4 linked regions of the Tamandua tetradactyla genome follow. Each later gene encodes a partner of the first gene's protein in a complex. Links are inferred from orthologs where the notes say so. Each region holds a gene or a part of one and is shown on either strand. Other genes may lie near its edges.

Region 1 (7,901 bases):
TCATCTCTGGCCAAGTTTATTACAGCAGTGTTCTAACTGGTGGCCCTGACTCTGTCTCTCTGACACATATCAGTCCCCCTCACAGCTGCCATAAGAGATCCCTAAAGTGCAAACCTGATTGTATGACTCCTCTGCTGAGAGTACTTCAGAGGTTCCCATCGCTTCCATAGTCCAGGCTCCTTGGCAGAGCATTCAAGGCTCTTCATGAACCGATTCCCAAAACCATTCTTGCTTCTTCTGTCAATCACCCCAAGCCCAGCAGGCCGTTAGTCACCCCCATGTCCCATGCTGCTACAAACCTCTGTACTTTTGTACGTACTGTTCCCTTTGCCTGGAAAGCCCACCTTCTCCCTGTCCACCGGCAAATTTATTCATCCTGGAATTTTCATTCCTGTTTTATCTCTTCTGTGAATCTTTTCCTACACCTTCCAGATAAACCCATCCATTTCCTCTTCCGTGGCACTTTTGAACTTTGCTCATCCTTCTCTTTTCCCAGATAATATGCTGTAGTGTTTTGGAACTATGAGCTTATTGATCTGTCTGTCCCAGAAGGATTCTAAGTCCTTTTAGGGGAAAGATGGTATAATGCCTGGGTTATCACTCCGGGTCTGTTGAATTGAACTGAGGTTGAACAGACAAAAGCAAAGAACCACTGGGACCATGAAAAGATATATTTACAAACATTAAGACATTATAGCCATGAATTATACATATCAATAACAACAGTTATTCATTGAACAGTGCTGTGCTAAGTGCTTTGCAACAATCATCTCTTTTAAGCCTAATAACAGCCCCGTGAGGTGGGAATTAATATTCCTGTTCACAGATGTGAAAACTGAGATATGGATCAATTAAAAATCTTGTGCAAAGAGCATCCAGAGAGAAAGGAACAGACCTGAGATTTAAATCCAGATGTGACATGAAAGTCCTATACTGGACACTAGTAGATCTGATGAATAAGTAAGAGTTACTGTTCTTATCTGTTTGAGAAAGGCAGTGAGGAATAAACCATCTACCAAATTGTATAAGGAAAAGTATAAATATTGCAGTAACTGCAAAATTGCATAGCACCATGACTTACTACCTTAAAAAGAATAAATCAGGAAAAACTTTTTATACATTTATTGTCCCCCCGAGGGGCGTGCACTGTTCCTGGAAATACTGCAATACCAGGTCGATGCATGGAGTGGACGGAGCAAGCTCCTATTCCATCTCCTAATTCCAAAAATCCATTTAATATATTGTCCTCGGATAGAGGACATATCAGATATAAAACTGATAAGAACAGATACTACACTTGATCTTAGCCAAAAGGCCGAGAAGCGATAGGAAAACTTTTTGAAGAAAGTAAATTTTAAGGTGTGTTGGGAGATGCATGTAGGTAGGAAGAAAAGCCTGTGTGAAAGGGTAAAGGCAGGAAGGACAGTGGAGAGTATCTATGTAAAGTCTGGTGGCTGAAGATGGGCAGGGAGCAAATGGTCTAAGGCCTTGAAACCAAGTAAGAGCTTATTATGTCCTTACTTTACTCAAAGTAAAAATACTTGGTCTAAAACAAAAAGAAAGAAAAATGTAAGATTCCCGCTCCTTCTCTTTAAATACACCTAGTTGGTATAATCTCATGTTAAGTACACATTCTTTCCCCCTTAGGAATGTTATTTCTATCCTATTGGTGTTAAGTTTTTCATCTTTCTGCCAGAATGTACACTTTCCAAGTACAAGAACCATGTTTAAACTGTGAACTCTTAAGTGTTGGCCGCATGCAGAGAATGCAGTTTAAGAGCTTTACTAACATTTAACAGTTGTCATATTGGTATTTGTATTAGGAATGGTTTAAGTCAGGATAAGATCTTTTTCTCCAATACCAGTTTCCAGGGAGGGTGACTTAAATCCTGCACATTCAGAGACTGGAGAATAGAGATGATACTTTGATTAGCTTGTATTTAGTGTGGGTAGAACACGGTCTAGGCATTATTAGAGGGGATGTCACAAAAGAATTGAGATATGCTTTTAACACAAGAGGTCATTACTACTAGGTGGGGAGCCAGAAGCCTCAAAAGTGAACTCAGCACAGAACATTAAGTGCAAAATAACAGCGTAACAGTGTGATAGCCAAGGCTTGATTGCTGAGAGGATACAAAGCAAGAAGAAATATGAGCCGTTTTCAAATAAGTTCTTCTATGCAGTTCAACCTAAGTAGGCTATTCAAAAGTACTTCTACTAATTATTAAAAGCTAAATATCAAATTACTAAATACTGAAAGTTGCCTTTGTCAACACTGGTCCAGGATATCTCCACAGAGAGTGCTGGCATAGGGTCGGGCATCTTAACTCTTCAGAATCCTCTGTTCAGCCACCAATCAGATGTTTGCCTTCTGCTGCTTTGTTCTTGAACTCTGCTCCTTGGGGGAAATCTTCATTTTAGTAGGCTCAGGTTGGAACCCGGGTCCAGGATCCTAACTTAAGCCTGTCTGGATTCCACCCAGCTGCTGTTAACAAAGTCTTGGTCTTCTCAAGGCTTTTTTTCCAGCGAGGTTACATCTTTGACCAACTTCTTCCTAGGCTCTCAAAGGAGGCCCTAATCATCATCATCACCATCGTTATTTAAATATCTATACCTTTTTAAACTCTAGCTCAAAAACATCCCTTCCTCTTCTCCCCTGACCCCAACTCCCGGCTCACGCTATCTGGATTTTCAGAATTCACTCGGGATAAATAGGTTCAATGGTTCTCCGACTCTAGCATGGCACCCCCACGTTTTCGCTACATTTTTCATCCCTGGCCACTCAGTACTCTGAAATCCATACAAAATGGGGGAAGGAGGGAGAAGTTCACCACAGGGCTAAAATGGAAATTCTTAGGAGCTACTGCTTCTGGAGAATAATTGCCTCCTCCCACCACCCGAACGACCAATTTACGTACTGTTCGCCAAGGGCAAGGGGAGTATCTCCTCTACCAAAAAGAAAACTTTCTGATGATAGAAGCTACCCTTTCGTTCATTTTATAAGCCGCCATTCCCTCCCCTATCGAGCCACAGGCTGGTTCTTAAAAGTTTCCTGTGCAAAATACCCCTTCTCAATTTTGAGTTTACATGCTAAACGGAAATATCTTTAGCCAATTAGGCAACGAAGGAGTTAAACTTCAACAACTTCATGGATTTTGGGGGTTTCCTTCTTCGTCGCCAGTAATTTAAAACGACCTGGAAGGGAAACTTTGCCCAAGATAAAGATGAAAACCTTTAACTTCAACTATCAAGTTTTTGCCGCAAACAAGAATAGCTAACCACGCCCACAAAGGCCGCCATTCACCTAAATAGCCCTGGTTTCTGCTACCAGTGTCTTTTCCTGCCCAATTCCAAAATGGCGCTCACTAGCCTCACCAAAGAGGGCGAACGCCACGCCCGCTTCCCAGCACCATCTCTGGCCTGAGCGCAAAGTGACGCGACCACAGCCGGAAGTGAAGGAAAAAGCGCCTCAGCCCGCGGCGCCTGCGCAGAAGACTCTCGACGCTGTGAGGCAGGAGGCACTTGGGATCGTCCGCAGGATTGGGACTGCTACAGAGGCCGCCACGGAGCCCGCCGGAGCCACCGTTCCTACTGCTGCTGCCGCCGCTGCCCGGATCGGAACCGTCGGGCCGCAGCCGCCGGCGATGCCGCGAAGAAAGGTGAGAAAAACGAGAGGGGAGGGATGGCGGGTTTCTGAGGACAGTCGATTGAGCAACGTGATGCAGCTAGCCACGCTTCACAGTGGTTGGGGACCAACTTCCTGCTCCCCCAACTTAGCTCAGCAACCCTCTCTTCCGTCTGTACTCGATAGAAGAATGTGGGCCCGACCCTGGCCTGGGCCTATGCTTGCTACTATTCCCGCCCTCTGCTTGGCTGGATCGGAGGCGTTCTGATCGCTAATTGGTTGTTGAAACATCGAGACGTATATTGATTGGCTGGTGATACCGCCCATTTGGATCCAACGGTCACCTCCCCGCGTGCGGGGGCGGTGTCTGGGCCCGGCCTTACCGCGCTCTAACTGGCTGTAGAGAACTATCCCTCTTCTCTTGATTGGCTGTACTTGGCAGTCTGTCCCGTGGGGGCGCAGTTTAGCAGGACCTCTATTGGGCGGCACGGGACCCCTCCCTTCTGGGTGGGGATGCTGATAGGTGTAGAGGCGGGGTTTTTAAGGCTTCCTTTCTTTCCGGGGTGGGGGGGGCGAGCGGGGGCGGTGACAACAAAGCAGAGGACTCGGTGCTGTGGAACCAGTGTCCGCTCTCAAGGGATCCATTCAGGCCTATTGAGTCTAAGTCTTAATTTTTCTTTATGTCTTTAGCTCAGCAGCGCCTAGAAAATGCAGTTTGTAAAAGCAGAAACTTTCTAGAATTAGAAGAGAGTTAAAGGATTACCTAGGAACCACCCCGTCTCTCTTTTTACAACTGAGCAAACGGAGGCCTAGTAGTAGTGTGCCCAAAACCACTCTTAAGTGAGTGCAATGGCAGAGCCAGGACTAAACAACAAATCTAATTTGGTTGAAGAAAGGTTTGACTGCTTGTTATTGGCTGGCTTGCTGGGGATTGGAAAACTACTTAGACAATCCCTAGTTTAAGGGACTCGCAGTCTCATGAGGAAAACATACAGAACGGTAAGACAGTCTATGCATTCTCTAAGTGGAGAAATATGTAATACAAGGGCAGTGGGAAGCAGTTAAATCTGCTCTGGAGTAAATGGGGAGTATATTGGTGAAAGCCTGGGTAAAGCTGGGAAGGAATGTTCAGAGGTGATCAGGGGTTGAAATATCTGGATAATTGAACTAGATGATCTTTAGGACTCTCCCTCCATCCATTCTGTGACTCTGTTCTGTGGCCTCCATTTCTGCACAGACTTTCAAATTAAAAATATGTATTATATTTAAGGTCTCCTAAGATGACCTAGAGTTGGTAGGTGGTATTTATCTTAAGGCTCACCAAATGCAGGAATAGTGTTGGTGCATTGGAATAGGTCCACCATCCCCCTTCTGCAATTCCCAAATACAAATATCTTTGGAAAATTTAAGTTTTATAGCAATTTATTTGGTGTCAAAATCTGTCTTAAACTGTCCAGCAGCTATTTATGTTTTTTATATATCGCATTTAGTGTTACTGTTTTCACATTTTGCTGCAGAAATATTAATATGCTTGATTATAGGCTTTATTTGTATGTGAAGTAGTCTCTTTCCAATAATCTAAGAAATAATGAATAGCAAACTCAGCTGGACCCAAGCATTTTGAATAAAGGATTAGGGATTTGTAGTTCAAAGCTCTGTATTTTAGTAAATATTCTCCTTTCTCTGATTAAAGGATATAGTGTTAGTGCTCAGTTGATAAAAATTATCTTTATGGCTATTCACTCCTGAGGAAGCTAATGATTGACGAATAATTTTTAGGAAAACATTATTTTAAAAATCTGTTTTTTAATATCCCCAACTTTTCACATGCAAGCTGCCTTTTCCAGTCCTTTTAGAGAAACCTTTACGGGGAGAGGACATAAGAAAGAGTTTCTTTCTTTTTCTCTTTCTCTGGAAGTTCTCTTGGTAACATAGTTGAGGACCATGATATTTTGAATTAGCACATGGTTTCTTAACATATGATAGCTGTTTGTGGAGATTTAGAACAAAGGTAACCTGAAGTCGAATGGATCTTAGCCAAACATTTTTCTTACTGATTTGGACTTTCCATGTGCATTGATACATCAGCCAGACCATTTTTGAGTTGGATACTTTTGTTATGCTTATCTCCAAATGGATTAGTTTCAGAATTAGTGATAATACAGTAAGAGTTAATTTTTTGTTTATTTAACAAAAGTACCTTATTTGTAGGTTACCTGTTTAAATGTTCTTAATAAAGGCTAGTTGACTCTAGGCTGGCGGAGGAATTGTATCTGGAATCCTTTCTGAGGTAGAGCTTGGTGTTTTCGGCATCATGGTTTGTTTTATTTCCACTGTTAACACGATCCTATAGTTTAAATACTTCTGTGCTAATGTCTGGATCTATGGTGTTACAGAGGAATGCAGGCAGTAGTTCAGATGGAACCGAAGATTCCGATTTTTCTACAGATCTCGAGCACACAGACAGTTCAGAGAGTGATGGCACCTCTCGGCGATCTGCCAGAGTCACCCGCTCCTCAGCCAGGCTGAGCCAGAGTTCTCAAGGTAAAAGGCTTTGTTCTCTCTGACCACTCACAGCTGACCATTGGTCAGTCTGTTATTGTGGTAGTTAATTTGGAAACTGGTCCCTTATCTTGGTATAGATGTCAGAAACTGGTGAAATGCAGAATGAATAACTGTATATGTATCAGGTCTTTAAAAATGGTTCTGTTGGGGGTGCCATCCAATTTGTAGACCCAAAGGAACTATGACATAACGTGACATGTTAGAGTGTGCCATGATGTATGTCATAAGTCATTTAATTTTTTTAGACTACAGTTTTCCCTTCAGTAAAATGGGAATATTACCGCTTCATTTTCTATCACAACAGTTTAGGTTTAGGGACTTAACATAGTATCTTTAATCTATAGTTGAAGGAGCCTAGTACTTCTGAAACCATATTTAGTTGTGAAATATAGTCAGATACACACTTAATAAATACAAATGTACCCAAACATCATTGTGTAAATACCCAGAATTTGGGGGGAATAGTAAAAAATCTAGACTCTCAGAGTTGGAAGGAAGTTTAGGTTCTTTAGTGCCATTAGCCATCTGTACTTGGATTTGGAAGGCACCCTTGACTTCTGCTTCTACTCTAGAATTCCCTGGGGAGGAAAGAAGGTTGAAATGTGCAAAGCTGATGATCGGTAGGAGATACAAGATTAAGAAAAGAAAAATTATAATATGCTTTGAGTGCTGATTTGATCATTGCTAAATGCATGTTGCAAAACAGAGAAAAACTTCAATTTTTCAAGCAAGAAAGAGGGAATATTTTCTCAACAGCTGTCTTTAATTTTTTATTTTTAAATTTAAGAGTTTAAAGAATAGCTGTCTTTGATTTTGCAACTTTTAAGTTTTTTTCTACAATGGCAGTATTGATAAATGCCTAGTATAATTCAAATACTATGCTATGTAGTAGGATGCAGTGATGGAAAAATTATGTTCTTGCCCTCAAGGTAGGGCAGCCAACTAAGAACAGGTCTCCCAGAATGAGATCTTAAAGGATCAAGTAGGAAATGATGGGCTTGGTGTTCTAGGCAAAGGGAACAGCATTTTGCAAAGGAAGAGGCATAGGATTCTTAGAAGATGTCAGTGGTCATGCCCTGGACATCTGAAAGTTGTAAATACTTGAAACAGCTAGAAAATGTATGAGGTCTGGGTCTCTTTCTAGTTACTGTACTTCATTACTAGGGAATTGCTTGACTCCTAGGGGTTGCATTTGCAGTGTAATTTTTGTAAGGTGGCCTTCTCTAAGGCAAAACATAGACTACATTGAGAATGGAGCCCCTTGGAGGTGTACAAACTGACAAACTTTCTGAGTGCTAGCTTTATTCATCTCAAAGTTTGAGAGTTCCGGTTCTCTTCTTTGGAGAATCTGTAAGATTTATGTATTAGGAAATTTGTTTAAAATGTGACTTAATTTTTGCTTTGTATTTCTTTTATTTCATGATCAGTTGGAGAAGTAAAGCCTACTGTGTGCTTCAGAATAGGTTTTGTCATTCAAAAGTATTTAAAGGGCAGTGCAATGGTGGCTCAGAGACAGAATTCTTGCCTGTCATACCAGAGACCCGGGTTTGATTTCTGGTGCCTGCCCATGTTTAAAAAAAAGTATTTAAAAAGCTGTATTCTTTCTTTTGATTAATCTATTATGATTTTGCTTAAGACTATCAGAGGGCAATCAGGAAGAAAAAAATGAATCCTAAAGGAGGGAAAATATTTGTATATTGTTATACTTCAG
Region 2 (7,273 bases), on another chromosome or scaffold:
CTCGATGGCATCGTCCTTTCCTCCTCATTTGGCAACAATCACCTACAAGCAGAGCCAGATTGAGAGTTATTTCACAGCTTGGGATACCTCAGAAGTGCACATGAGCAGAGCATACACAGTAACTCCAAGCTGCATCAACATGAAGCTCACATTTACACGGGTCTGAGGCTTTCAAAATCACTCATCCTGACACCTGTCATCTTGTTCCAATAAGCCATCAACAGCCCATTCACCCCAGGCCCAAGAGTCTCCCCAGGACCAGAAGGAAAGGGCAATAGTGCCAGGAGAGGCAGAAGCAAGGAACAGCCCAGATGCCACAGCTCTGCAGAGGGCATCTGCTATGAGAAGCCCTCCAAGAGGCTGGGACAGTTCTTGCCCACCCCACTTCATGTAGGCCAAGTCAATAGGCAGCCAAGACCAGGACGACGACTCGGGTCTAGACCCCACGGCCAGTTGGCCCAGGGGGCCAGTTAGGACAATTCTACTGTGGGCTGGGATCCCACAGGTACAGGGGCCACGGTCTCAAGGTGCACCATCTCAGTGGCTACTTGGTCCTCAGGGTCTCCAGGGGCCCCTCCCTGCCAACTCATCCCTTCCCCCACGACTGCCCGGGACAGCCCCCGGGGGAGCAAAAGTACACCCAAGAACTCACAAGCCCTTCATGCTAACAAGGTAAAGGGGGACAGCTACCTACTGGGAGTTTCTGGCCAGACGCATATCCCCATGCACACCGTGCTGGAATGGAAAAGGAGAGCCCCAGCATAGCCTCCATGGGGCCTCCACGATGACCACCCCACCCCAAGGTGCCTTCTGCCATAGGTGGCCTGAATGCTGCTACGCCAGCCTGTGTCCTCTCCCTCTTTCTGGAAGAAACCCAGGTATGGACATCTCTGCCTTCTGCTTGGCTCCTCAGCAGGGCTGACTCCCAGAGAACCCTGCTGGCAGAGACCGCACTGAAGTCTCTACACTACAAGGCTGGTGCTGGCTCCAGGGCCTGAAAGCTCTGCTGCAGAGGTTTGAGAATTTGCTCTTCTCAAAGATCGGCAAAGCCAGCATGCTGCCCTCCAGAGCTGCCAGTTTCTGTGGCTGAGAGCAGTAGGCCTGTCACCACTGCATCAGTTTCACCGCGTACCACTTACAGGGGCCTGGCCCCTTGTTCCTTGAGGACCTAACACTAGGCCACCCTTGCGACCAGATCACAGCCCCAGAGGCACTCTCGTCCAACAACAAGGAAGAAGCCTGACTGTCCCTGGGAAACAGCTACATTTCACACAAAGGAAACAAGATTACTTTTATAAATTCAGGGCTTACAAACAAGTGTTTCAAACAAGTGTTCCAAGTTGGAGAGGCCCCAGCACAGCATCTAGCCCTGCCCTGTCAGGAGGTCCAAGGGCAGCCTGCAGAGCCCTAATTCACAGCCTCTGGGTCACCCGAGTTGTACTCCAAGAAAAGCCCACAAAGAAGAGATTCACTCTATACTTAGACATTCTTAGCTCCTATAGGGACATCCCAGCAGAGCCTATGTACACTTCTTAGGAAAAAACCTACAGCTTGTGGTTGAAATCAGACTGGAATTCCCTATGCAGACACCATGGTAGGGAAAACCCCCACTAGCCCGCATATCTCAGGGACCTCTGGGGCTCACTGAAACCTGAATTCCTGCTGAGCTGTCAGCAAAGCTGCTCCAGCCCTGTGCAAACCAGGGCCCCACACCTCCAATAGCAGGCAGACACCTTCCGAGGCGGGCTGGGCGTGGCCCCCAGCCCAGTGCCACCGCCTTCACGGCAGGCGCCCTCCAGCACTCTGGGAGAGCCACACACGCTCATTACTGAGGTGGGGCAGAAGCAACAGTTGGTTACTCACCAGATTCAAAACAAACATATAATTTTCTCCTCTACAGCAAAGCACAAAGCAACTCTAAGTACAAGGTCTTCAAAACCTGAACTCTCTCAACAGGTCTCAGAGCTCTTCATCTGACCCCTTCCTACCAGGAGAGCTTAGCCACTGACTCAACAGTCAGAGCAGTTCTAGCCCAAGGCATTACAGAGGGTGAGATGGGCATTCATTGGCAGCATCGGACACAGGGTGACCGGGGTACTTGGCATCTCCCTAAGCCCTGGTCAGCCGGCAGCCTCTCCCCATTCCCAGGGCTGTACAAGGAAAAAGGGACAGCAAGGGCAGCCGGTGTGTTTCCAGGGAAATGAGTGTGCTAAATGCACACGTCCTGGAAAGCCACAAGGGCCAGAAGAGAGTCACTCCAAAGCAGTGATTTGCTTGGGGGTTTTGTAATTAGTTTCATTTCCTGTCTGGCTGTGGACAAGTCATTGAAACTCTCCAGGACTCTGCAGCCTCTATCATAAAGTAGGTACAGGAAGAGCTTATGCTTGGCCAGGTTGTGGGAAGAGTAAGTGGTGAGCCAGGTAAATACACAATGCCATAACTCCTAGTTCATATTTTAAGCAATGACAAAGACTTAAACCCAGGCAGGAGGGTGCTTTGTGGGGCAAGGGGCACATTCTTGGGTGGGGCGGTGATGATGTGAATGTGGATTCACTTGTCAGGACCACGGCACCCGAACAACACTTGTATGTGTGTAAATTATACCTCAGCAGAGTTACTCCTTAAGAAAAAGACCAGGCCTGCTGGGAGGCGCGTTCATTTCATCCCGGGCCGGATCCGCAGGAAGGAGGCGCCACGGCGCCCGCCGGCCCGGGGTTGCCTCTCCACCCGGGAAGTCGCAGAGGTCCGCCAACGTCTCTCGTTGGGGAATCTTTACAGTACGTCCCTGTGAACAGGGAGTTTCCTGTCTCGGCAAAACAAACAGAGTGTATCTGTTACATAACGCGATCCAGCACGCTGAGGAGGCAGCGGCCGACAGCTTCGTGCAGTGTGCCGGGCCCAACGCGGGCTGAGGCGGGGCGCAGAGCCCGGGCCGGCCTCACCCGGAGACCTGCGGGGCCTGGGCTCCAGGCACTCCCCGGCACGGCGCCGCGACCCGCCCAGGCCTCCTCCGCGCCGCCGCACGGAGCCCCCAGCGCGGTAGCGCAGGCTTGGGCCCCTCCATCCCCGCCACGGCCGACCAGCGAGCGCGGCCCCGGCTGACAGGCCCGGCCCGCCGCCCCCAGCCCGCCCGCGGACAATGCGCGCCGCCGCCGCCAAACATGGCGTCCGCTCCACAAGCCGGCGACAGGCCGCGGCCCAGGGCGGCGGCGGCCCGGGCGGCCCGCGAGTGAAGGCGGCGGCGGCGTCAGACACAGCCCGGCCGGGGACCCCCAGCACACTCACCTTCGGGGCGCCGCAGCCGCGGGAGCCCGGCGGGCGAGCGGGCGAGCACGGGGAGCCGGCGCGGCCGAGGCGGCGCTAATGGCGCCCGCGGCTCCTCCGCCAACGGCCGCGCAGGCCCGGCCCCGCCGCCGCTCCTGGGCGCGGGCTCCCTCTCGGCGCCGGCGACTCCGGGCCCGGCCGCGGTGGCCGCGGGCTCTCGGAAGGAGGCTCGCGCGGCGGAGGCCGGCGAGGAAGGCCGGCGGGGGAGACCCGGCCGGGGCGGCGGCGGCGGCAGCGGGGGGCGCGGGGCTGGCACGGACGCCCGGGCCGGGCCGCTCGCTCGCTCCCCAGCGAAGCAAACAATGCGGCGAGCGCTCCGCCCGGCGCGCTGCGTGCCCGACGCGCCCCGCCCCGGCCGCCGCCATGACGCGCGCGGGCTCCGCCGCCTTGGCCGGGCCGCGGGGAGGGGCAGCCGGAGGAGGGACCGCCGGGGCGCCGGGCTGGAGGGCGGGCGGCGGGTAGAGACTTAGGGGGTGCCGCGCGGAGGCTGAGGGGAGAACCAGGAAAGGAGACTTAAAGGGGTACAGAGGGGGGATTGGGAGAGGGGACGTGACGGGGTGAGGGAGGGGAACTAAGGGAGTGGGGGGGTGTCGGAGGATGGGGGGAACCTGAGGGGTTGCCACGGAGGGGCTGGAGGGAGACCAGAGGAGGGGGTCCCAAGGGAGTGCTGGGTAGGAGAGAAGGCTGCCAGCGGGCCTGAAAGGGTGCTGGGTGGGCCATGGGGGGAGGGAGGCTGGTGGAGTGGGGGTCCTGAGGGTGCAGACCCGGGAGGGTGATATCTGAGGGAGCGCTGGGGAGGGGTCTGCACAAAGCGCTGGGAGGGTGCCTAGCAGATGTGGGGGCTAGCTGGGCTGGAGGTCCTCTTTAGAGCATTAGAGGCCTGGTGTGGGGGGGGTGGTTAGGGAGCTGGACACCCACCTGGGATCCTGGTAAAACAGATGCCATTTTAAGATTTTTGAGAAAAGGGCCCTCTGAGGCAGAAGTTCAGAGACCCCAATCATGCTCTCCTATCAGGTTACTTCCCCTTGACCTGTTGTTTAAACTCTGAAATTGAATGACCTCTGGATAATTTTTAACCCCAAATTCCCAAAATGCTGTGATACAGGGAGTGGCCGGATGGTTCCTTGGCTACCTGTGAAGATTAACTGGCTGAGTGTGGGGACCCAGCTGGTGGCAGCAAAAGAGTCCTCTTGGGGGCACAGGGACCCCTGGGCTGGCAGATCTTCCTCCACATGGTAGGCAGGGCAGCGTCCACTGCCCGGGACCTCCACCAAATGCCTATGGTGGGACTGGGGAGACCTTGTCCACCGACAGGCCATCTGCTGGCCAGTTCATGCAGCCCAGGGCATCCAGTGTCCCCTTGGGAAGCAAAGGCCTGGAGGGGGTCAGGACCTTCAAGGTCAGCCGTGCTTCCTCTGGCCATGCCGTTGGGCAATGGTGGGGGACAGTGTGGCCTCTGCTCTAGGAATGGGTTAGTCTCAGGCCAGCTGTGCCCAGGCAGCTGGACCCAAACTCTTCCTGCTCCTGCTCCAGGCCCCCTTGCCCACCTCAGACAAACCAGAAAACCTAGAGGAGTGCCCACCCCATAGAGCAAAAGCGAGGGCCAGTTGCATGAAAGAGAAGAGGAAAAGACATGGAGTTCTTCCTCCCCAAACCAGAGACATGTGGCTCAGGGCAGAAGCAATGCCTAGGAAGAGGAAAGAAAAAAGACACACATGCCATGGGGACATGCTGGAATTCCAAGAATAAAGAGCATAGCTCAAAAGCCTTCAGAGGGAAAGGGTCTCCTTTAGAGGTAATCAGACTGAAGTCACGAAAGAGCAGTTGTCAATATCTGCGAAGGTGTTTTCACAGACCCGTAAGCATCCAGTTTACCAACCACCAAGCCCAAAAAAACTACTAAAGGATGTACTTTAGCAAAATGAAAAGAGAAGGCAAGAGTAAGAAGTGGTTGCCAGAAAAGAAGTGGTTTGAATTATTCAAAGAAAATCAAGTAACAACATGAGGGGAAAATCCCAGATGAATTAGACATGACATCTGGCAAAAAGGGGTGGAAGGGAGAAGTGAAAGTGCATCAAGATTCTTGTATTATTTGGTTGGAAGATTTTTAAATTATAGGGAAAAAGACAAAATGTATATTAGGAAATTTCTACTTAAAAAATAGAAATAGGATTTATAGCTTCTAAATAAGTGCTGAGGAGAAAGTGAGATGAAGAAAAAGGGACAGAGCCAACAAAAAGAAAAAAAACCCAAAAGCATAGTAAATAATGAATATAACATAAAGTGACAGGAGGAATCCAAATATATAAGTAATCATTGAAATGTGCTTGGACTAAATTCATCCATTAAAAGATTCAGACTCTAGGATATAAGATAGTTAAATGCTGTTTTCAAGAGATACACCTGAAAAAAATTATTGAAAATAAAAGGATAGAATGTAATACAACTTTCATTCCTCAAAAGACACATAAAGAGAATGAAGAGCAAAAATTGAAAAACTGGAGAACGTACCTTGCAAAAGATTAGTATCCAGAATATATAAAGAGTGCTTTCAAAGCCACTAGAAAAAAACAACCCACTAGAATAATGGACAAAGCCCATAACCGGGCTTCTTGCAGAGAAGAAAATTGAAACTGCCAATAACATCACTAGTAATTTTGGAAATGCAAACTAAAACCACACTAAATGTGCACAGATGTTATAGTCTGACAATACTCAGAGTTGGCAAGAAGATGGGGCAACAGAAAAGTGCTGGCCTGAGCATCAACTGGTACAATTACCTTGGCAAATAACATCGCATTATCTGGTGAAGTTGAACATATGTGTATCTTTGGGGGCAAAACAAACTGCCCCCAATGCTTCACAGCTGGAAACAACCATCACCTGTTCTGCTCGCAGATGTGCTAGAACATGCCAGGGGGACTTTACCTGGGCTTGGGGAGCCGCTCCCATGGCAGGTAGGCCGGTTGTGGCTTTAGGCTACGGGCCTCAGTTCCCCTGCAGTGCTCCTCTTTGTGCACTAGTGGGGTTCCCTCATGGGACGGCGGCTGGGTTCTAAGAACAGGGCTCCAAAGATAGCCAGGTGGGGACTGTCTTACGTCTCGTGAGCTGGCCTCAAAAGTCACCTAACGTCAATTCTGCCATAGTCACAATCCTGTGCAATTCCAGAAGCAGGGGGGACAGACCCTTCTCATTGGAGAAGTGTCAGAGTCACACATTTTAAGAGGAGAAATTGTGGGGCCACTTTGGGAAAATGCAAGCCACCACAACGTGCACACCCACTACCAGCGAGCATTAGGCCAGCGTACATTCCTAGGCACAGTCCACTCCAAGCAATGTGTACGTGAATATTCACAGCAGCACAGAGTTTAATAGCAAAAATGTGGAAGGGGTGCAGGGACTCAAATGTCCATGGATAGTAAATTTGTTATGGAGAAATAAATAGAGGGAGAAATTAATTGAAACCTCTGGTGCCGCAAAGCTGAATCTCAGTCACACGATGCTGCATGCAAGAAACAAGCCACAGGAGACGGAAGTATGGTTCTATTTGCCCTCGGAAGAAAGCTGGGAAACAGCTGTCCGGAGGTGCGTGCACACGCAGACGCACACCCATCTGTTTTGATACCCATCAACAAACCTTGAGTGTGTCCTGACCCCTCCAACTCTAGTCCAACACCATCGGGTTCATCCTGGGCTCCCCTTTGCATGTTTCGTGACGCATTTCCCGCAGCGAGTGGCCTGGTCAGTCTCCCTGGCGAGAACCAAAGCTTGACCCCAAAAGCACCAGCCACGGCACCTGCCAAAGTCTTGGCCCGGGGCACGTCGCCTTCCCATGCCTACGCCTGTGCATTCACACTGGGTCCAGGGGCCCAAAGCTGGGCTCTCCAAGGGTAGGAAGACAGGCGTGGACATGCTGGTGTTAGTTTTTAAGGGTCCATTTTCCAGCAGA
Region 3 (8,361 bases), on another chromosome or scaffold:
TGTGCAATCAATATGTCTTCAGATTGCTTCTCTAATTCCACCCTTCCCCTTCAGGATTCCCAGGAATTCCCTGGGAACCCTAAGGTTAGGGCAAGTGTTGTGACCCAATTTTCCTAACTGTTCAAACCTGTGCTATTTCAAGTGTGAGCAGTGGACCAGTAGCATCAGCATCATCTTGGAGCTTGTTAGAAATGCAGATTCTCAGGCCCCACCCCAGACCCACTATATCATAATCTGTACTTTAACGAGATCCCAGGTGAGGTATCTGCATGCCACCACTAGACAGGCACTGCCTTAAGCAGCCAACAAGTGAACATGGACGGGGAATCCGAATGCCGAATGAGGACTTCCCACCTGGCGCACTCAGTAAATATTCAGCGAATGAATATTAACCAAATCTCATGTGGGTTTCTCCATTTAGGGTGCTCAGGATATGCTGGACCTGTGCCTCTGGACACACACATCGAGCTGTTTGAAAGGCTTTTTGTTCCTCACAAGGGCTCCTGGAGGAGTGGCTATTGTCTACTGAGGGCCAGACCAGTGCTCAGTACCGTGTGGGCATGCTCTCAGTGTTTTACAAAGTGTGGTTCAAGGCCTAGGGCATCAAGAATGACCAGCTGCTGGTTAAAAATGCAGATTCCTGGGCCCTGCTCTGGACCTACCCCTTGAGAACCTTTGAAGATGAGATCCAGCAATCTGCATTTTAAACAAGCATCCCAGACAATTATTTCCAGTAATTTGGAAATGGTTGCATCTCTAGCTTACAGAAGAGGAAACCAAAGCACAGAGAGGTTAAGTAACTCATGCAAAGTCACAGAGCTGGTGAATGACAGAGACCAGATTCCAACCCAGGACTTCCTGGCCCTGGAATTCAGTCTTAAACGTAATGCCTACTACACTGGAAAAGCTGATGCCCAGACAGACTGTATATAATTAGCCCTATGCATTGCCTTGTGTGTATTTCAGGTGTCAAAGAGGTTTGGTAGACTGTGAACTCCTGTGAACTCTTGCAAGTCAGTGAATGTGTTTTATTTCTCACTGTATCCGTGGCATCCAGCACCGAGCCACCATGGGGAAGATCCTCAACAAAAGCTGTTTGAATTGAATTTCTACAGATTTTTGGTTATCCATCTTTACACACATTCACAAAGATATATACAAATGAAGGGCATTTTATTTTTAGGTAGCATCTTGGAACTAGCTAGTAACAAGTATAAACCTCCCCACTCTCTTGAACTCACTCCAATCAAGCTTTCGTCTGCACCACTCCACTGACACGACTCTTGTCAAGGTCACCAATGACATCCGCGTTGCTGAATCCGGTGAATTCTCAACCTTTCTCTTTCTGACTGCTTTGTAGCTTTGAACATAGGGCTTTCCTCCCTTTTGAAACTCTCTTTTCACTAGGACTTCCAGGACATCATATTCTTTGGACTTTCTTCCTAGCGATCTGGATGCTTTTTTAAAAAAAAAAACAAAACACAAAAACATCTTTGCTGATTCCTCGTCATTTCCCAGACCTCTTAACCTTGCAGTGTCCAAAGGCATCATCGCTGGGCTTCTTCTCTGTCTACCCTCACTTCTTTGGTGATCTCAGATAGCATGAAATACCATCCATCTGCTGACCACTCTCTTTAGCCCTGAGCTGAGACTGCCCGGTCTAGCTGTCTATGGAATGGCAGCACTTAAATGCTAACAGGCATCTCAATCTTAACATGTCCAAGGCTGAGCTCTTCAGCCTCCCCCCAAAGCCTACTCCTTTCACATCTCCCCCATATCAGTTCACGGCAACTCGATTCTTCCACTGGTTCAAGGCAAAACCCTTGAAGTCATCTTCAACTTCTTTCCCTCTCTCATACCCCACAGCTAATCCATCAGTAAATCTTGATAGAGTTACCTTTAAAATACATACAGATGTCAACTTCTTATCACTTTCACTGCTACCCCCTGATGATCCATCTTAAGCACATCTCTTACCTGGTGTGTTGAAGTGACCTCTTAACTGGTCTTCCTGCCAATATCCTGGCCCCTTCGGTCTGTCTGCTACACAGCAGCCAGAGTGACCTGTAAAACCCAGTACCTCAGGTCATGTCGCTGTTCTGCTTAAAACTCTCCAGTGCTTCCTGTCTCAATTCCAGCAAAAAGCTAAATTCCTAACCACTCCCTACAAGGCCCTAGATAACTCTTCCTTATGCATATTAAGCACCTTAATGCCTCGGGGCATTTGTGTTTGCTGGTCTCTTTGCAGTGACAGTGGTTCTCAACCATCTTTGGTGCCATGGACTCCTCCTCTGGCTTCTGTGAAGGCTGTGGACAACTGAGTACAATAATTGTTAATCCTTACAATAAGTTACATAAATTACAAAGAAAATCAATTATATTGAAAATCACTCTCAAAATATTTTTAAATGTACTATATAGTAATACATACGCTTCTTAATTCATTTAAATTACAAGACATAGCAGCCTAATTTTGAAATAGCGGTGAGTGTAATGATATTTTCAGATAGCCGCAACAACTGTAATGTGATATAAAAATATCTGATTTCTACTAGCAACAGCGTCACAGTTGCTAACACCACTGTGATTTGTTTCTGAATTCATAATTGAAAATTATGCTAAATTACATTTTTTTCCCATCTAAGGTCAAGAACCCCTGAATTTTATCCAGAGATCTCTTAAAGGACTTCTTAGACCTCTTAAGAATCCAGGTTAAGAACCCCTGACTAGAATGATCTTTCCCCATTAACCCTTACTGCTCACTCCTTTACCTTCTTTTGCTCAAAAGCCACATCTCAGTGAGGTCTCCCTAAGGAACTGCTATCTCCCTATCACCCAATTCTACTTAATTTTCTCCATGGCACCTACCTTCAAACACAGAGTATATACATTATGTATCTCCTTCCACTAGAAAGTAAGTCCCATGAGATCAGAGCAAGGATTTTTATCTGTCTGTTTTGTTCGTGCCGTGTGCCCTCAGCAAGCAGAAGAGTACCGGGCGTACGGGAGGCACTCAATAAATATATGTGAGTCAACAAATGATTACATCTCCAAGAACTCTGTTTCTTTTCTTTTCGTATTCTGCAAAGTTAATGATTTATGAAACTTTTAATAAAGATTAAGTAGTTATAAATTAGCTTCATCATTATCATTATGTTAACATTTCTAAGGTTAATGAGAACCCAAGGGTCCTGATGGGATTTCCAGACTTAAACCACAGGTATCTCCCAAGGACCCTTCACGGGATGGAGGGCTCACCCAAGCTTAGAGAACCACCTCAGGGTCAAAATGCAGCCAGTAAAATCCTGCTCTCTTTGCCAAATCAGGCCTCAACCGGAGTCAAACCAATCATACCAGTACTTTCTATTTCTGGCAGGGTAGTAAAATGAGAGCCGCACAGATCTTGGGGTCAGGTAGATCTAGGTGCCAATTCTGCCAACACTTACAAGCCATGGGACCGTTGGTAAGTTACTACACCTTGGTGAACAGCTAAGAAGGGGGGTTTGCCAGCACAAAGCAGGCGCTCTAGAAATGGTGACCCCCTCCTCTAGGTCATTTTATAATTGCCTACTAAGGTATTTCCCCATTTTAGATCATGGGATCCTGACACCTGGGAGCAGACAGCCTGACTTGTCCTCTCCTACATACAAATCCTTCGGAGCCAGGCCCAAGCAGAGCAGATCCCCGGGACTGGGCTGCTGTAAATTGGTGACCCCCAACTCCAGTGTGGCTGAGAGTGCTGCCTGGACCTTGACCATCAAGGCCACTGTCCATTATGTTTTTTTATCCTGGCCCTCCCTTTTGTGTGTTGACAGAAATAATCGTCCCCCAGTTTTTCAGAGTTAAGAGTTTTGGGAGAGCACATTAACCTTTCCAAACAGCATACAGTAGATGGGGGAGTGGGCTGCTTACTGCACACGTGTGCTCTGAGCCAGGCCCTGTTTACCTGCATGTGCCTGCACATGTACACACACACACGTCCAAATGCACATGTACACACACACGTCCACACGGACGTATGACCTCAGGAACCCACAACTGCCCCCTTCTACAGATGAAGAAGAAGAGAACTAGAAAGATGAACTCACTTGCCCATACCACACAGCTTCTGAGAGGCAGAGCCAGGACTAGAATCCAAGAATTTAACCATTTTGTTACTGCACCACAGCCCATGACACCTGTTTTGCAGGCCCTGACCTAGGCTTGGGAAAATCCTATCCACTGATCATGGAGAGCCAGAGCCAGGTGATGGTTAGTCCACCTGCCCCTAGTCTTGCCGGATAAGCTCCCGCACCTCCCACACCCCATCTTGTGAATGAAGGCCAAGGAGGAGAAGTGTTGCAGGGACTCCCTTTGAGATCATAGTTCTTTCTGGTTGCAAAAAGTGCTTATTTCAGCATTTTTAATCATCTCCCTCTTTGTTGTGTAAACAATCCTCTCTGTCAGAGGATTTGTGCTGTTATTACGAGTTTGTTTATTATTAGATTTATTTCTCCTATAAGCAAATGTGTTCACAATATTCCATCGGGGAATCTTCTTAATTGTCACATAAATGTCATGTTATGTAAATTGAATATTTATCTTTCCTTGGAAGGGGGTGGAGGGGAAAGAAAGAATAAACAATCTTCAGTCTTGGAGAGATAAGGTGGTTCCTGAGCCACTTCTCAGTTTACCCTGGTGCCATAGGTGAACTGCCAAAGGTGAACCGGGAAAAAAAAAAGATTGGATCATCTCTGAGGGGCTGCCAAGAAGGACGTGGGATGGGGGGGGGGGAAGAAAAAGTTGGCAGTGATGCTTTGGAGATGTTGGCCCCAGCTCCTAGGTCTCCCTCCTCCTCTGCCCTGCCCAAGGCCACACCACAGACTACCTCGTCCACGGCTGTGGGCATCCGCGGGAGGATGCAACTGCCCCCACCCCACCTCCCTAGTGCCCATCCCGGAGGCCAACCTTTCTCCTTCCTCGAGAGAAGGTGAGCGCGGCGGGCGCAGCGGCCCGGGTGGGTGTGGCCCGCGGCTCCGGGATCGGCCCCCAGGCCCCGCCACCGCCCCGCAGCCGCCCGCCAGCCCGCCTGCCCGGCGATCGCAGGCTCTTCTTCCAGAAACTGCGAGGATCCGAGCGCACTGTTTGTGCACCACAAGGTCAAGTCGGGAACTGGAGCCGGAGGAGGAGGGGCGAGGAGGCGAAGGGTGGGGAGAGGGGCGCCCTGCTTCCTCGCCAAGTGCCAGCCCTTGGAAGTTGCCCCTCGTTTTTTAACCCTTTCGGAGCCTCGGGGAACGGGGTGGTGAACTAGGGAGACGGGGTTACTCCGGGGCAAATGCAAACTCCCACGGGGGTCAGGATGTGCAGCCACCCACCCACCCATCACCGCCTTCCCCACCCCACCCCACCCCCCGGAAATGCGGGGCAGCGCCGGGCGCCAGGAGACACCCGAGCGGGGGTAAGGGGCGGCGAGCCGGCGAGGGACCCTCTCTACCGACCGCCCCTCCTTTTTTTGAGGTCGCCTACAATTTCAAGTTTCCCCCCGCCGGGGACGTTAGTTTCCATCTGGCGTGGGTGGGGGAGGAGGGCCGCGCCCCCTCCCCCAGACTCGCGCGCGCCCCTCCCCTCCGCTCCTGCTAGCACTTTCTGCTCACTTCTAGCGCTGGGCTGGGAAACGCCACGCGATTTATTCAATTCGCATTTTAAAACCAGTGATTCCAGAGTAAGGCCTAGGGCGAGGGGCTTCTAGCGCTGGAGCCCTGGGGGGCGGGTGCTCAGTGCAAACCTCGTTCCCTCCGCGAGCGTCGCCTCCAGGCTGTTATTTGCGAAGAAACGTCTTTTTGACGCAGGGAGAAATGGCAAATTTTAAGTACGTCATTAATATGGCGCCAAAAGATTTTTTTAAGTATAAGCTTGCTTCTTTTTTTTTTTTAAGGTTGCGGGGGGCGCCGCCCGGGTCTGGGGAGCGAAGGGGGCGGGGTGTGAGCAGAAAGTGTGAGTGAGAGAGTGGAGGGGCGGAGTATGTGTGTGAGTGTGTGAAGTGTGAGCAGACCTGATGGGACTTGCACGGGCGCAGCCGCCGCTCAGGCCCGGCCCTGGGGACAGGGCGGGCTGGGGGCGCCCCCGAGCCGGTGGGGAGCCCGAGCCCGGGGTGTCGGTAGGCGGGCGGCTCGACAGGGCACCCTCCCTGCGGGGCCCGCAACGCTACCTGGATGCACCGCGGGAGCCAAACAACTGGGTGTGGGGGGGTACGGGGGGGGGGGGTGTCGGACGACAGGAGTGTCAAGAGCGGAGATCGGAGTGAATAAGAAAAAAAGTGGCTACTCCCCCACCCTCGCTCCTCCCGCCCGCCCCTACCCCCACCCCCACCCCCACCTCAACACATTTTTTTTTTTTTCTAAAGAGATCACAAGGAAGTCTTGGTTTAAAAAGAAACAGAAACATACACAGGGGGTTGGTAAATGGTGCCGACCGCGGCCATCGCAGTTGGAGGCTATTTGGAGGTGGTGGGGGGAAGCGAGTAGCGTCCATGGAGTTACTTTGCGCCCACTCCTAGCCGCGCCCGCTGGGGTCTCGCGGGTTGATCGTCCGTGGCTGGGGAGGCCGCGGGCCCGGCTCCCTCCCTCGCCGCGACCCCGGATGGATGCGCGCCCCCCGCCCTTCCGCGCCGGCCCCAGGAGCTCCGGGTTTCGGGAGCATCCTTTCCGCGCCGGCCCCCGCTGTGGCGCGTAGCCGAGGGCAGCGCCCCTCGGGAGGGCACAGCGGAGCAAGGTAAGATCCACCCTCCAGTGGAAGGGCCCTGCGCATCTCTACGGCATTATTTTGTGTTTTTGCAACAGATCTGCCAGCGCTTCTCGCTCCCTCGCTCTCTCTTGCTCACTCGCTCCCTCTCCTGCTGGCTGCCTGTTCTAGGAAGCCAGCGCCGGGGGGCGGGGGGTAGGGGGGGTGGTGAGATGCACAGCACTGGGGAGAGAGATTGCGCATGTTGGTCAGTCGTGTTTTAAAGAGTACAGTGCGGGGAGGCTGAGAGGGGCGCATGCAACAACAACTTTTGGAAGGGTGAGCTTGGCGACCTTCTTTATTAATGACTGCGGCAAAGCGCCCCCGGACCGGCGAGGGGGCGCGGGCGGGCGGGGGCGCGCCGGTGCTGCAACTTGCCCCGCGGCTCGGGCCGGGAGCAGGGGCTGCGGTGGGTAAAGGGTGCGGGGGTGGGGGGCGGCTGTCGACTGCCCCCCGGGGGGGGGGGGCGCTGCTCAGGACCTGGAGCTATCTGCCCTCCTGTCGCCCCGAGTTTCATTTTGTTGATACGCAGCACGTCCGGGCGCCGAACCGGGCTGAGCTGGTGCACATGACCCCGCACTGGGCTCACGTGCAGCTAGTCCGGCCCCAGACACCTTCCGGAGGCCACCGCCTCCGCTCTCTCGCCCCCTCTCCGGGCTGGGTGCACGCGGGAGCTGCACGCGGGGGCAGCATGCTTGGCTCCCGGGCGCCGAGGCTCTGCACAAATTAAGACAGTTTTTTGGATATGCGGGAGACGCTCTTTCCAGGTGAGTGGGGGGAAGTGCACGGCCCCGGCGCCGAGGCGCGGGCTGGAGTTGGGGGCAACCACCCCTCCGGGGCTGCGCGGGAGTCCGGCGGGGTAGAGGCGCTGGGAGAGTGGAAATGTACCGGCGGCTGCTGGGGCGGCGGGTGCGCGCCCGCGGGGCGACGGCAGGGGGCGTGGCCGTTGTTTACCTTCTCCCAACTCTGCCGGTTCGCGTCCCGCTCCGGGGACGGCTCCGCAGTCCCTCTGCTCTCCGCCTCCCCCCCGGCGCCCAGGGTGGTACCGGGAAGATGTAGGCGCGTGGCGGCCCCTGCCTGGGACGCACACACCTGACCCCCACATGAGTGACATTGCAGCCCCCGCCCCCACCAAAACCGCTGCAGTCCCTCTGCCGGATCACCGGCCCCGCCCCGCCCCCGGCAGTGGCATCTTCCCAGCCTCACCTCCTTCCTCCCTTTCTCCCTCCCTCCTTCCCACCCACTCGCCTGCGCCTGCGGAGCGGCTCCCGCCCGCCTCCTCCCCTCCTGGGTGCAGACTTGTGGCTCCCTCCGGTCCCTTCCCGCCCATACTGGGCCCTGAGACACCCCCTTCTCTCGGCCGAGGGATGGGAGGCGGGGGGCTGCCTGGCGAGGCGTAGTTGTTCTGCCAGACGATGGGGATGTCTGCGAGATGGGCAGGAAGGCTCCGCTCGAGCTTCCAGAGGCCCAGGACCCACCCCCTCCCCGAACCTTACCACCTCTCCTGTATACAGCTGCCCAACCCGCAAAGGGTCCAGCTGCCTTTCCCTGCATCCCCTAAACCTCTCCCCTCCCGGTGTCACGCCCATTGCCCGGCGCTGT
Region 4 (7,642 bases), on another chromosome or scaffold:
AGATAATCTAAATAGTTGTATAAATATTGAAGAAATTGGATTGGTGATTTAAAATGTCTTGAAAAAGATATCTCCAGGCCCAGATGGCTCCACTGGAGAACTCTACCAAAACATTTAAAGAATTGACACCAATTTGACATGATCTCTTCCAGAATATCAAAAAAGAGGGATCACTTCTGTGTCAGGGCCCCTAAAACCACCCCCAGGTTTAATGATTAACTAGGAGGACTCACAGGACTCAACACATGGCTATGGTTTATTACAGTGAAAGGATACAGAGCACTATTAGCAAAGGGAAAAGACACATGGGGTGAAGTCCAGAAGAAACCATTGACAATATTTCAAGAGTTGTCTCTCAGTGGAATCATGCAGGATGTACTTAATTCCTTCAGCAACAAGTTTTGACAACACATGTGAAATGTTGTCTACTATGGAAGCTTATTAGAGACACAGTGCCCCAGGTTCTTACTGGGGGTTGGTTATACAGGCACCCTCTGCCTAGCATTTACCAAAATTTCAGACTCCCAGAAGGAAAGCAGCCATTCAGCATAAACCATACTATTTGCACAAATAATTTAGGCACAGCGAGCCACTCTTATCCGTTCAGGGAATGGTGCAAACCCTCCTGAAATCCAAGTGCCCAGATACCAGCCAAGGGCCTGCTATGTGAACTCTTTTCTGTGCAACTTCCCAACTCATGTTATGAGGCCAGAATTATCTTAATACCAAAATCAGACCAAAATAGTACAGAAAACAAAAACAAAAACAGCCACAGACTTTTATTTCTCATGAACTTCGACATAAAAATCTGCAACAAAATATTAGCGATGTAGAAGTCAGCAAGGTATAAAAGGAATTACACAATGGCCAAGTGGGGTTTATTCTGGGTATGCAAGGTTGGTTCAAAAATCAATGTTCAATAAATGCTACCTACCATAGCCACAAGCTAAACAAGAAAAATTATATATGATTATATTGATAAATGCAGAAAAAGCTTTTGACAAATTTCAGCACTCATTCATGATAAAAACTCTCAGCATTCTAGGAATATTGGGTGCTTTCTCAACTTGATAAAGAGCATCTACAAAAATCCTACAGCTAATATCATATTTAATGGTGAAAGACTGAACGCTTTCCCCCTAAGATCAGGAGCAGGGCAAGGATGTCCACTCTCATCACTCTTATCCAACATAGTACAGAAAGTTATAGCCAGCATAATAAGGCAACAAAAGGAAACATAAGGCATACAGATTGAAAAGAAAGACATAAAACTGTCCCTATTTTCACAGACTACGATTGTCTAAGTAGAAAACGCCTACAACCAATAACTGAGTTCACCAAGATCATAGGATAAAAGAGTAATACAAAAAATTGAAAGCAATTCTATATACTAATAATGAACAAGGAACGTGAAGTTGAAATTAAAAACACAATATCATTTAAATTGTGCTAAAGAAAATGAAATACTTACATGTACACTTAACAAAACATGTACAGGTTCTGTATGTTGAAAATTCCAAAATGCTGATGAAAGAATTCAAAGATCTAAATAAATGGAGAGATATATCACATTCATGGATTCAAAGACTCAATATAGTAAAGAAGTCAGTTGCCCCCAAATTGATCTATAGGTTTAACACAGTTCCTAACAAAATCACAGAAAGATGTTTTGTAGGTATAGACAAGCTTTATCCAAAACTTATATGGATAGGCAAATGACCTTGAATGGCTAAAACAATTCTGAAAAGGAATAAAGTGGTGGGAATCATTCTACCTATATTAAGGCTTACTTTATAGCTATGCTATTCAAGACTCTGCTATTCACAGAGAGACAGACACATAGATCTGTGAAACAGAATAGAGAATGCAGAAATAGGCAAACACAAATATGCCCAGCTGATGTTTATAAAGGTACAAAAGAAATTCAATGGAGGAAAGATAGTAATTTTAACAAATGATATTGGAGTCATCAGACACCCACAGCTAAAAATGTGAACCTTGACCTTATGTTCACATTTTATTCAAAAATTAAATTTTAAAAATGAATCATGTAAAATGTAAAACTACACATAAGATAAAATCTTCCAGACTTGGGCTAGGCAAAGATTTCTTAGACTTGCTACCAAAAGTACAACGCATAAATGTAAAAATTGATAAATTGGACTTCATCAAAGTTAAAAACTTTTGGTCTGCAAAATACTTGTTGAAAGGATGAAAGGACCAGCTACACAGTGGGAAAAAATATTCACAAATCACTTATCTGACAGAAGATTTGTATTGAGGATATATAAAGAATTCTCAAAATGTAACAGTAAAAACCAAATAATCCAATTAGAAAATGGGCAAAAGGCACGAACAGACATTTTCTCAAAGAGGATATACAGATGCAAATAAACATAAATAAAGATGTTCAATATCATTAGCCATTAGGGAAATGCAATTTAAGACCACAATGAGATATCACTACACATCTATTAAATGGTTAAAATAAAAATATAGTGATAATATCAAATACTGACAAAGATGTAAAATAACTGGATCTCTAATGCATTGCTGGTAGAAATGTAAAATGGTACATCCAGTCTGGAAAATAATTTAGCAGCTTCTTATGCTAGTTTAACACTAAACATATAGCTACCATATTACCTAGCCATTACATCCTTGGGTATCACTAAATACATAGCTACCATATGACCTAGCTATTATATCCTTGGGTATATGCCCTGGAGAAATGGAAACTTAAGCTCACACAAAAACCTCTATATGAATGTTTATAGCAGCTTTATTCTTAATAGCCAAAAGTTGGAAACAACCTAAATGTCCTTCAAAGGATGAATGGTTAAACAAATTATGGTATATTCATAGTATGGAATATTACTCAGCAATAAAAATGAATGAACTACTGATATATGCAATAATTTGGGTGATCTCAAGTGACTATTGCTGAGGGACAACAACTAATCTTAAAAGTTTATATAGTGTATGATTCCATTTATGTAATGTTGTTCCATAGAGATGGAGAATATGTTATGGATTGCCAGGGGTTAGAAGGAGGGAAGAGGGTGACTGTGATTACGAAGGGACTGCAGGAGGAAACTTTGTGGTGGAGGGACAGTTGATTGTGGTGGTTATACGAATCTATATATGTGAGAACACATACATAGAACTATATACACAAATACAGAAATAAGTGCATGTAAAACTGGTGAAATCTGAATAAGTTCTTTGGATTGTACCAATGTCAATATCCTGGTTTTGATATTGTACTATAGTTATGTAAGATGTCACCATTGGGGGAAATTGGATAAAATGTTCAAAGGACCTCTGTGTAGTATTTTTTGCAACTTCCTGTAAATATGTAATTATTTCAAAATAAGTACAATAGAATGAGGTTAAGTCTGAAGTATTTTACAACTTACACTTTTGTATATCATGAAACACTTTTGTCTTTAATATGGAAAACAAACAAAATATCAAAGAGCCTATATTATTGTTTATCCTAGAAATGCAAATGGGAAAATGGCTATATGAGTTCATTGCAACTGCACATGGTATACTTCCAAACCCAGATAGGTAAATTTAAAAGATTGGTTGTTGAAACATCTGTATGTCTGCATTTAACCAGAGAAGCAAAAATACATAGGTTTTATATACAATGCATTAATGTTTTTATGTATAAATGTATGCATTTATTACAAACTATTGGCTCAAAGTATAGTGGGGGCTGATTAAGCAAATCCAAAATCTGTAGAGTAGTCCATCGGTCAGATAGGAGAGATCGTGAGCAGGCTAGAACCCACGGGCACAGGCCAAAGCTGTTCAGCATACGGCGGAATTTCTCTCCAATATTCTCTGAAATGTCAGCCTTGCTTTTAAGGCCTTCCAACTGATTCAGTCAGGCTCACCCAGATCATTCCGGATAATCTAACTTTAATTCGTCTGATTAAGTGCTTTAATTATATCTGCCAAATACCTTTACAATAACACCTAGATCAGTGTTGGAATGAATAATTTGAGGTTACAGTCTTGCCAAGCAGACACACAAAAAGCCACACAACACCATAAATCATTAGTGCCTGCAATGGGATAAATGAAGTCTGTTAACAGCCATTATGATTTTGTTATTATAGCTAATTAAAGTACAAATAACCTAAATCAATGGCGGCTGATCACGACTTTGAGCTATGAGAGTTCCACTTACAGAACTTTAGAGTTAGAAGGGGCCACAAAGAGTTTAGCTTGTATTTCAACACAGCCAAGTCACCTCCACCTCGTCCCCTCTGGCTTTTAGTCTGGCTGGAGCTCCTCCCCGAAGCAGCACGCCCAGCAGGAGGGGTGAAGAACCCACCTGAAGGACAAGTGTCGCGAGTGCAGGAGCGTTGGGTGGGCGGAGCTTTGAGACCCTCTGCGCAGGCGACGGCGCCCGCCCGCCAGAAGAGCGCGCGGCCAGGAGACGGTAGGGAGCCTGTTGGGGAGGGCAAGCGCGGCCGGTGGGGGGTGGGAGGAGGAAGGAAGGGGAAGAGGCGGAGCGTGGGAGCGCACAGTGTCAGGAATACAATAGTGCTGCGCGCCGCCTCGGCCGCCGCCACCGTCGCCCAACCGCAAGCTGCCCAGCGCTGAGGCCTGACGGGCCGGGTTGACGAGGGCCGAGGGCGGGAGTTGAGTTGCGGGGGGCTGGCCCTAGCGGATCAGGCGGCCGGGGCTGAGGGGCGGGGGTAGGGAGGGATTGGGGGCAGGTGCGAGGGAGGAGAGAGAAGAAAGCAAGCGGGTAGGGGGGCGGTTACCATCCCTACCAGACTCGCCCGGCACATTGCCGGGCCCTACCGTGGAGACGGGAAGGAGCCGCGACCCCGCTGAGCGAAGGTAGGCGCCACCGAGGCCAGCTGCGGGGCTAGCAGGGTTGCGGGGCGTCGCGCCGACAGAGGGAGCGGTGGCCTCAGGGAGTCGCAGCGGGCGGCGCGGGCGCAACGTCCCAGCCCTGCCTCGCTACGTTTCGGGCCGCTTCGGCCCCACACCGCAGTCCCCTCCCGCGTGCCCGGCGCCCTCGCCCGAGAGCGTGAGTGGGCAGAGTTGGATTCCCGGAGGTCTTTCCCGGGCTAGGCAGTGCCTGGTGGCCCGCGCGGGGGACGCGGAGGGCGGACGCTCGAGGTCGGCAGCCTGTCTTGGCTCCAACCGGGCAGGAATTGAGCGCCATAACTATTGCGGCTGTTTTCTCAGGTGCTTCTTCCCGGTGCTTCCCCGCCCCGGTCCTCTGCTGGGTTTTGAGGTTTGCGGGGTCAAATCCGCGGCTGCACGGATCTGCTCCGCGGGCCGCCTGGGGCGGGATGCTCTGAGGAGAGAGGGCGTGCCCTGGCTGGTTAGATACTGAGGTGAATGTGGGGGGCGGGAAGAACCGAATGCCTAGAGAGGGGAAGACCAGTGGTGCCGGGGAGCAGCGAGGCCGCTGGTGGGCCCCAGTGCCCACCGAGCGCGAGGGCGGGCACCCCGCGGGCTCGCGAACTTTCCCTCCCCCTCAGGTCATTGTTCGGACGCTGCCAGTCGGCTGCCGCCGAGTGCTGGGCGGTCGTGGGAATGGGAAAATCCTGAGGGCTTTCCAACTCTTACCAGAAATTTCTCCCTTGTCTGGGCACGGCAAAGTTAACTTTTTTCTTAAGCCATCAACTTGGTTTTAGTCCCTACGCCTTGGGGGCAATCTGTGTATGTGTGTGTAGAGATAGATTGATTTGGCTCTCTCCAGTCTTTTTCTCCTGCTTTTCAAAAACGCTGCTTCGGGAAGTCTGACTTTAAATTGCACAGGATAACCTGCGTTTATTATTTGTGAGGAGGAAAAAGGGGCGGGATCTCGAATGAGTGACCACTGGTGGTTCTGTGAAGGCCTGTTTAAAAGTTGATATCGTCGGGTAGCCCTGGGGCATGTAGCTCCTAGGCAAGAAACTTGTTTAGTGGGAGCTACTCTGACATTTTAAGTTGAAAGGAAATCCATGGTCTCAGGTATGCGTGAGATTTTGTTATTATTTTTATTGTGAGATCCGTTTATGAAGCTGAAGCTGAGGCTGAGATCCGCCCCCGCCCTCATTGTAAAACCGTGTTGATGATGATTCCAGTGGCCAGGAGGGAAAAGTGATCTCATTCCCTGTACTCAGTCTGATACAGATAGCTGTCTGCTTCTCTGTAAACTCTTGAAATTAATGAAAAATAATTTAGGTAAAAAATGATTGCACAACATCTTGGCTTAGTTTAAGCAGCCTGAGAATCCACTTTCTCAGAGTAGTTAGGTCTTAAATATCTTCCCTGCAGCCACTTCTTGTCAGCCGGGAAAGGGGAGAGTTGTTAAGAGAGGAGTCCGCCTGAGTAAAGTATTGGAGTTTTTATTTAGTTTAATACTTTAATAAGATCTGTAAACAATGGAAATGTGAATCCCAGCTTTTGCACCCCTTGAATATTGTAGTTCTCATGCTTTTGTAGCATCATGTGATTACTCTGCGTAAGTGAGAATAGGTGCGTTTTTAAAGTTTTTTTTAGCCCAGGACTATTCAACCTTCGTGACATATTTTCTTTCTCATTTAAAATGGGGTCTAAGCTTAAATACTTAAACTGTAAAAGATTAATACATCTCTTCAAGGGGTGAGAGGATTACATGAGATCTTAGGGAAGCACTTCTTAAAGCCCAGCACGTATTAAGTTCTCAATCAAATGTTAGCTACCATCATTGCCACATTCTCTACAACTGTGATCTTCATAGTTTTGTTTGCTAAATAGAAGAGCCTTTAATGCAATATTGTCACCTTGAAATAGTTCCTTCATGCTCTGTCCAATGAATTCTGGAATACTCAGGGGTGCAGCTCTGGTTCTAGAATTCATGCTTTCTTTCTCCCCATTTTTGTGAGTCATGTTGCAGTGTCTTGGCAATGTGAAATAAATGCCTTCTTGATCACAGGTAGGGGAAAGTGGAGAAACGGCTTCCCAGCTCCTCCCTGAAGTGTTGGTGATGAGCTGAGAGCCAGCAGTGACTTGGAAGCAACCTTGGGGAAGCCTCTGATGACCTTCTATAGAGGAGATTAACCCTGTGGACTGTAGAGGACGTTATCAGGAACAGGACAGGTGATGGTGCAGGGCTTTCATCATAGTCGAGAAGTGTGGGTTGGCAAGAGTTAAAATACAAAGCAAAGGATGTTGAAATGGGAGGCTTGTAGACTGAGCATGATCCACTGCTTATCTTTTCCCTCCCTTGTGTTGTACCAACTATAAAGACCCATTTCTTTCCTAAGCTACACAAAGCTATCTCTTCTTTTTGTCCATTACTATGAGGTCTGGTTGGAACTGGGCATGCATTTTTTGAGGAGAGATGGAGGTGGCAAAAGGGGTCGGATGTTCTTGAAACCATGGCATTACAAAAGACCCTTAAAAGTCTTATTCCAGGGTGCAGAGATAAGGGCCAAAAAGGAGATTGAACATTATCATAGGGCATAATCCATGTACCTCCTCATGGAGCTAACATGACATGGTAGCTGAGGAAGATAAAGGTCATATACTGAATTACACATTAAGAAACTCTCTTATTAGGGGATAATTTACTATAACCTTTACTAGGTGAGGAGTGGGTATTATGTGACACCTATTTGGAGCTTTCCTGAAATGTCTA

The links.
Region 2: the proteins of KAT7 (region 1) and BRD1 are in contact, whole or in part, in a crystal structure (PDB 5GK9), measured with the Homo sapiens proteins. The link is inferred for Tamandua tetradactyla from reciprocal best matches to the Homo sapiens genes KAT7 and BRD1. Residues at the interface, in NP_008998.1 of Homo sapiens: Leu531, Phe534, Gly536, Lys537, Glu538, Ile539, Ser540, Ile541, Lys542, Pro552, Val553, Val556, Gln560, Leu565, Tyr567, Lys571, His572, Leu573, Val574, Leu575, Lys576; in XP_047297239.1 of Homo sapiens: Val40, Ile42, Glu43, Ile44, His49, Arg50, Ile51, Ser52, Ile53, Phe54, Asp55, Pro56, Leu57, Glu58, Ile59, Ile60, Leu61.
Region 3: KAT7 (region 1) and JADE2 share a complex: the UniProt entries of both Homo sapiens proteins name them as parts of the HBO1 complex. The link is inferred for Tamandua tetradactyla from reciprocal best matches to the Homo sapiens genes KAT7 and JADE2.
Region 4: KAT7 (region 1) and JADE3 share a complex: the UniProt entries of both Homo sapiens proteins name them as parts of the HBO1 complex. The link is inferred for Tamandua tetradactyla from reciprocal best matches to the Homo sapiens genes KAT7 and JADE3.

The regions. Positions count from the first base shown.
Region 1 is NC_135332.1:30,970,316-30,978,216, forward strand, and holds the start of KAT7 (histone acetyltransferase KAT7), read left to right. Parts: upstream 1-4,490; 5' UTR 4,491-4,603; coding exon 4,604-4,624; intron 4,625-6,021; coding exon 6,022-6,169; intron 6,170-7,901. UniProt on the Homo sapiens protein: Catalytic subunit of histone acetyltransferase HBO1 complexes, which specifically mediate acetylation of histone H3 at 'Lys-14' (H3K14ac), thereby regulating various processes, such as gene transcription, protein ubiquitination, immune regulation, stem cell pluripotent and self-renewal maintenance and embryonic development.
Region 2 is NC_135333.1:44,964,841-44,972,113, forward strand, and holds the start of BRD1 (bromodomain-containing protein 1), read right to left. Parts: upstream 3,352-7,273; 5' UTR 3,286-3,351; intron 2,804-3,285; 5' UTR 2,605-2,803; intron 43-2,604; 5' UTR 29-42; coding exon 1-28. UniProt on the Homo sapiens protein: Scaffold subunit of various histone acetyltransferase (HAT) complexes, such as the MOZ/MORF and HBO1 complexes, that acts as a regulator of hematopoiesis.
Region 3 is NC_135346.1:13,591,281-13,599,641, forward strand, and holds the start of JADE2 (E3 ubiquitin-protein ligase Jade-2), read left to right. Parts: upstream 1-5,033; 5' UTR 5,034-5,138; intron 5,139-5,402; exon of another isoform or gene 5,403-5,437; intron 5,438-5,462; exon of another isoform or gene 5,463-5,848; intron 5,849-6,641; exon of another isoform or gene 6,642-6,750; intron 6,751-6,768; exon of another isoform or gene 6,769-7,038; intron 7,039-7,341; exon of another isoform or gene 7,342-7,526; intron 7,527-8,361. UniProt on the Homo sapiens protein: Scaffold subunit of some HBO1 complexes, which have a histone H4 acetyltransferase activity. Acts as an E3 ubiquitin-protein ligase mediating the ubiquitination and subsequent proteasomal degradation of target protein histone demethylase KDM1A.
Region 4 is NC_135353.1:123,516,819-123,524,460, reverse strand, and holds the start of JADE3 (protein Jade-3), read left to right. Parts: upstream 1-4,413; 5' UTR 4,414-4,456; intron 4,457-4,561; exon of another isoform or gene 4,562-4,863; intron 4,864-7,642. UniProt on the Homo sapiens protein: Scaffold subunit of some HBO1 complexes, which have a histone H4 acetyltransferase activity.